Linked DNA regions of Drosophila melanogaster. The protein of the gene in region 1 interacts with the protein of each later gene in a pairwise test. Each region holds a gene or a part of one and is shown on either strand. Other genes may lie near its edges.

Region 1 (3,103 bases):
AGGAACGGCGGAAAATCAGGAAAAGCTGGAAACTCCCAGAATTTCTGCTCCAGCAACAGCATCCGCCACATCCTCGTCCTGGGGTCTGTGGGGCGGTAAACTGAGCTCCGTGCTAACCACCGCCACGGAGGGATTGGGCACGATAACCACCCAAGTCAACCAGGGGCTTAATCAAATCATCGGAGTGCCCGATCCCGAGGAGCTGGCTCGCATTAATGTGGCTGAAAAGGCGGAAAAGGCTGCTAAAGCGCCGCCAGAGGAAAATGTCGACGATGAAAAAGAATCTTCGGCCGCCTTTGGCTTGGACTTTGTCACCAATCTGGGCTCCAAGGTTCTCAACACCGGACTGGATACACTCGAGGGCATTGGCAAGAAGACCATGACCATCCTGCAGGACAACGATCCCAAGCTGATGAACAAGAGGAAACTGCTCGGTCTGGAGGCCAACTCGCCTAATTTGAGTGCCGTGTTGCTGGAGGCAAAGAAGGAGGCCGACCAAATGGAGCAATCCCTGCAACAGCTACAGCTGAAAAGACAGAAGGCGCAGCTGCGTTTCGAAATCCTTTTCGAAAATTACTGCGGCCTGGTGCACTTCGAGGCCCTGGAGATCCTTTCCAAGGAGTCACGCCTCAAACTGGACACCCTACTCGATGCGGTTAGTGGCAATGCCCGTGCAGAGTTGCAGGAAACGATAAACGAGGTGAAGGAACTGATCGAACTGGAGGATCTGGATGTGGAGAGTGAAGGTGACTACGAGGCGGAGGAACTGAGCGAGCGATTGGCGGCCACAATCAAGGACGCCGAGCTGGGCATTCAGTTTGACGACATAGCCAAGTAAGTTGTCGGAAACTAATATTATTTAAACATACCATAAACCCAAATCTTTTGTACAGTCACTGGACGCAGTCCCTCAGCTGGTTGACCTCAGAGGAAGCAACTGCCGCCGATCTGGAGCAAGCCTATGCTAAGAGCATCCACGCGCTGAGTGAAGCGTGCGCCCTCGAGATGTGTAAGCTGCACAAAATCGCCGAGCTGTTGCTGGTGAAGCCACATCACAGCACCGCCAACGAAGTGGATGGCGTCGTCAATCTCTGCCAGCAGTTCAATGGACACCTTCAAGGACTTAGCCACCGCTTCGCCGCCGTTCTGAGCGGCAAGTCAGAAACGGAGGAATCAAAAGGCCGGGTCAGCACATTCTTTTCCGAAATGCTATCTGCCGTGCAGTTCATCGAGAAGGCCTACAAGCTATTTACACCCATTCTCCAGATGGGAGCTGTGTAAACGGATTTAAGATTAATTGTTGTACTTTCTACTTTTACTATTGCCTGGTTAGTGTTCTCAACTCACTTGTTTTTCCATATAAATGTACAAAATTATAAATGATTGCGTTGCAAATGCTTGTGATAACATTCCCGAAATTATTGAGAAGTTTTTTCAAAGTGCAACTGAAAGTTCGGTAGCCTGCATTCGTGTTTGGTTGGATTAGAGCCACCTAATAATAGTTGGCTTCAATGTGATGAACTATTTTTAAAACCCGACTCTCGATAGGCGCGGCAATAATTTTCAGGCATTATCTATTCTATGCCCTTTCTATTCGAACTATTCTATAAATCAAACGCAAAACACGAATATCAAATTGTCCATTCTCTAGTTAAGTCCAGCAAAATTTAGTTAGAATCATGGGAGATCGCAACAAGCAGCCGGTTATTCTGCTGAAGGTTCCGTCCTCCGATGATTTCTATGGTTCGGCGTTGCGCAGCCATAACCTGGATCCCATCTTCATTACTCCCTCGCATTTTGTGTTCAAGAATCTGAAGCAATTGCAAGCCAAGTTGCATGAGCCGCACAAATATGCCGGGATTATATTTGCATCCCCGCGCTGTGTCCAAGCTGTAAACGAGGCACTAGGAAAGACACCACTTCCTAGTTGCTGGCGTGCGTTACACAATTATTCCCTAGGCAAGAACACGCACAGCGCCGCCTGGATAACATTCCAGAATCTTCCGACTCTGGGCGATCATGCCGTGAATGCAAACAATCTGTGCGATCTGATCGTGGAGACGTTTGGACCCAAGAGGGATCTGCCACTGCTCATGCCCTGCGGCAATGGCGTGGGTCAGACACTGCGCCTCCGTTTGGTCGCCCAGGGATTCCGGGTGGATGCCTGCGAAGTGTACGAGAGTCGGTCGCATCCGGATTTCGTCAATCAGATGCGGCACGCCCTCAAATTCAAGCGAATGGAAACGATTGTGTTCTTCGGACCCTCCAGTGTCCGCAGCTCCTTGGAGTTCTTTGGGAACTACAACGTTTCGCTTAAGGATCGCAAGCTGATAGCCGTGGGCAGTGGCACCAGGAAGGCAATGGAGGAATCTGGAATTAAGGCGGACGGAGTCGTGAATGCTGCTGACGTCGACCGCCTGATAAATATCATCAAAACATAGTTTAGTATCGATCATTTTACGTTTTGTTTTTACCAGTTTTTACTTTTGGTATGATTTCAAAATCTGTTTGGTGTCCTTTAAAGAAATGAGGACAAAAGTGTGTTATTAATTAAAGTGTTTCAACAAAGTACATGTAATGTTTTTATTACAAAAACTATAATCAAATAGATTGGATCTATTTGAACAAGATACTTCAAGATATGAGTTTTAATTTAACAATTAGATACAAAATGGGATTAAATAACATAAAGTAATCATGTTCTTAAAAATAGCTTGCCAGTTTCAGACAAGTTTTCAAAGAAGTACAGATGTTTAAATGATGATGGATCTGAATGAATTTCTAAGCTCAATATTCTTCCATTTTACTAAAAACAAAGTGTAAGAATTGATAATGTTGTCTGTATGTTCGTTGTACTGCTTAGTTATTTAGAATTCTTCAACATGTCGAACATATCAATATTATTTTGTGGCTTGATGGGCGCACATAATTTGGCACGTTTGCCGCTTAAAGAGTTGCCCACGATCTGTAATAAAAGTTCAATAATTTAATTTCGATTATAGGTGCAATTAACAAATACTCACTGGTATATCATCGCCGCTATCAAAGTCGGAGGAATATGTGGTAATTTTTTGACGACGAGCATTACGCTTTCTGGCAGTGC
Region 2 (3,751 bases), on another chromosome or scaffold:
GGGTCATCTGAAGTGGCTGCCCAAAGGAAAGCAGGCGCAGATATACAGCGAGAGTGCTGTGAACTGCATTCACGATGACATACTGATTGCCCAATTGCGTCCGGGTCACGAGTTGGATCTGCGCCTGGTGGCGGTTAAGGGACTTGGACGGGATCACGCGAAATTCTCGCCGGTGGCCACGGCCACCTACCGACTGCTGCCCATGATTAAGCTGAACCGCGAGGTGACCGGTAAGGATGCGTACCTATTACAGAACTGTTTCTCACCAGGAGTAATTGGCATTGACGAGAATGAAACTGCCTATGTAAAGGATGCACGCTACGACACGTGCAGCCGAAATGTGTATCGCTATCCCCAGCTAAACGACGCTGTGACTTTGGCCCGTATCCGAGATCACTACATTTTCTCCGTGGAATCAGTCGGCGCACTGAAGCCCGATGTCATCTTCCTGGAGGCGGTCAAGGTATTGAAGAGAAAGTGCCGGGCGCTAATTGACGAAATTGAGGCAGAATAGTTATTTATTTAGTTGTTAAAGAAATTATATTATGTACATAAGACAGCTTGATATAAATTGTAAGCCTACGAAGATCGTGCTTGCTCTCTCTTGCGCTTGAGCACCTTCAGGCGAAATTCCGTTAGGACCACCTGCAGACGCTCCTGGCACATTAGTGCGTCCTCCAGGTCCATGTTGTTCAGCTGCAGAGCCAAACTCTTGCCAAACAAGTCAAATTCACTAATAATGGTGTCTTCCGTCATCGCGTCGACTTGGTATTCGTTATTAATCTCCGTATCTTCCGGCTTGAGCTGTATCATCTCTTCCTCGTAGACCACCTCTTGGTCCTGGAGATCTGTTTCATTCTGTTGTACTTCGAGGAACTCGTTCTCAACCTCAAATTCTTGCTCTTGATAGGGCTGATCTGTTCTGAGTAAATCATCCAGGATTGAGTCGTTCGAGGCGATTTCGTCCTCCTCCGTCTCCTCCTCCATGCTCTCCACCTTCGTGTCGTTCTTGATCTTTGGCTGCATTTTGCTCCTTGGCTTTTGCCTTGGATAGGTCTTTGATTTGGCTTTGGGCTTTGCTTTGGGTGAAATTATGGAGGCCTCCAAGTCTGGGTCATGCTCATCTTTGACAAGTTCACCCTTAATCATATTCTGTAGGTATAAATACGGAGTTGTTAATTTTATGTAAATTAGTAATGAGATGAGAATTTTTTTTTTGGAGCGATAAGTTGTGCATCGCATAGAGGGAGCTACTGGTTTGGTTAACCATTGCACAAGAAGTAGTCAATGGAATAGTTAACGAAAAGTATGGCGAAAACTCACACAAAAATCGTGTTTGAAATTTAGTTTGGATCGCAAAATATTTGAATCAATAATGGACACGGGTCATTCCTATTGCTTATGCACAAACCCAATCCCACCTTGGCAAGAATGTTGTGGTACTTGAAACTTTCCTGGTGTTTCCGCGTTGCGAGGTGCTGCTTGATGGACGCTAGTCTGGCGAGGACATTGATGTCGCAGATCTTGCAGTGCGCCGAGTAACCGTCATTACTAGACGCCAGCCAGCTGGAGAGCTCCGGATATTTCTCCCACTCTGTGCGATAGCGTTGGTGGTACAGTCGCTTCACCTTCTTGTCCTCATCCGTCTTGTAACCCTTCAGCATTGTGCCCGCTTTCGGATGAAGCTTGTCTGATTTGTGGAAAAGTATTCTTTGAAAGATGAGCGCCAAAAGCAGTCTTTAATAGCTGATGGTGGTAAATATTTTGGTATATTCCAAAAATTTGCGACGCGAAAAAAATCTGAAAGTCGATGCGGTGTGACTGTAATCGAATACGTTATAATACCAGCAATTAATTCCAGGGTTGCGACATAGAGGTTGCTGCGCAACGGTCACACTAAGCTGTTTTGTTTATATAAACATTTTATGCCTTCAAGTTTATATTAGAGGCGTTTATGGTTGTGTTATGTACTTTTTGAAAATACCTTACTTGTACATAGTTCAAATTAATTTAGTTTGAGATTTTAAATAAAATATTCTTTCATGGTTTGGGTCTCAGGTAAAGTTTAAGCAGTCACAATACGGCCACACTACACACTCATAGAGAAAAAATATAGTAAATAAAAAGGCTTTGCCGAATTCAGGATAGCTTTTGCCTGCACCGTGGGTGCTCAGCCAACATGGTCATTCCAAAGGAGATCCTAAGCGACTTCAAGGAGCTATACGAGAAGGCCAACCGTCTGGTGGAGGAGGAGAGCCGCAATGATCCGCCCACGGATCCATTCCGCTCCCATTATAAAGCGCGCGATGTGCTAATTGTCTTGAAGAAGCAGCTGGACGACCAACTGGTATCTGTGCAGGCCAGCGAGGAGGACGGTGGTCAGGACGATCGCTGCTATCACTCTCTGTTGGCCTTCGTTTGCCGGGATCTAGGCAGGATCTACATCTACACAGAGGAGCAGGCAGAGGGCGAAAAGATGCTCAATCGTTGTCTGGAACTAGTCACGCCGTTTAAGGAGTGCCCTGAGGGCATCATTCCATTCATTGGGGCAATCAACGAGCTTAGCATTGTGCTGGCCTCCAAGGAAGAGTACAATAAGGGACTGGAAATTCTCCTGGAGGCAGAAAAAATCTACGAGGACTTCAAAGCCAGTGGTCTGAAGCCCCTGGCCATTCAAGATGTGTTCAATCCTCCGGAGGAGGGACAACAATCTCACGAAGCTGGTCCCAAGGAACTGGAATCCCTGTACACGCTAGTCTCATTTTACATGGCGCAAATGTACGGGCATTTGGGTGAGCCGGAAAAGTCGGCCAAGTGCTGCCATCGCACCCTCCATCGACAGCTTGAGTCAAAAACATACGATCCCATTGATTTCGCACTGAACACCGCCACCTTGTCACAGTTCTATATTGGAGAGAAGCGCTTCGAGGAGGCCCGTCATCACCTGGCCGCTGCTACGCTCATCATGGCCGAATATGAGGTGCACATGCTGGAGCCGGAGATGAGCGAGAAGCAGCGCCAGGACGTGTCGGAGACCTTTAAACATCGCTACGCCGATGTGGCACGCTGTTGGGCCAAATATGGATTGTATTTAATGAACACATCCAAGCTTCGGCTGATGCGGGACGAAGATGACGAGGATGCCAAGAACCTGGAGATCGTTCTGCGCAATATGCGGCTGGTCGAGGCGGAACAGTCCCGGTTTCCTGGACTTGACCTCACCGCGTGTGAAAATCGTATTAGTTGTGAATACTGCCTGACCTTCGACGATGCCAAGTTGGTGTTTCATTTTGTGAACGAGTGGCTCGACATAGCCAAGGACTATTACAAGGCCGAGAACGAAGCTACTGAGTATTCAAAGATAATGCAGGATTACGCCGAAGCGTATGAGCACATTGCCTTCTTCGAGGAGAATCCAGAAAACCAGGCCAAGATGCAAAAGCGTCGCGCCAAGTATCTGGAAGATCTTTTGGATCTGCTTGACCCCATCTTTTACATGAAGATATGCCGAGAATGCTGGTATGGAGCCGGCACAGCTCATGCTGCCGTGATGGATGTCCGTCTCGACATCATTCGGGCCACTAGCACGCCAGCGCCGGAGGACATCAAGAAGGTCAATCAGAGCTGTATGAAGGCCATCAAGCACTTTGAGAGCTATGTCAAATCCTATCTGGTCAAACCGCCCAGCGAGGAATGGCGACCCAACATGGACGTGGAGGAGCAACGCCACATGCTCTACGCCCACTTCCAC

Evidence for each region.
Region 2: the proteins of Uros2 (region 1) and l(2)05714 interact in a two-hybrid assay, tested with the Drosophila melanogaster proteins (one large-scale study listed by BioGRID).

What each region holds. Positions count from the first base shown.
Region 1 is NT_033777.3:15,786,925-15,790,027, forward strand, and holds Uros2 (uroporphyrinogen III synthase 2), read left to right. Parts: upstream 1-1,596; 5' UTR 1,597-1,679; coding exon 1,680-2,441; 3' UTR 2,442-2,570; downstream 2,571-3,103. Other genes in the region: CG9590 (uncharacterized protein), read left to right, coding at 1-834, 894-1,281; c(3)G (crossover suppressor on 3 of gowen), read right to left, coding at 2,864-2,965, 3,024-3,103.
Region 2 is NT_033779.5:4,969,633-4,973,383, forward strand, and holds l(2)05714 (lethal (2) 05714), read right to left. Parts: upstream 1,854-3,751; 5' UTR 1,665-1,853; coding exon 1,422-1,664; intron 1,153-1,421; coding exon 580-1,152; 3' UTR 515-579; downstream 1-514. Other genes in the region: Polr1C (RNA polymerase I and III subunit C), read left to right, coding at 1-514; CG14043 (uncharacterized protein), read left to right, coding at 2,180-3,751.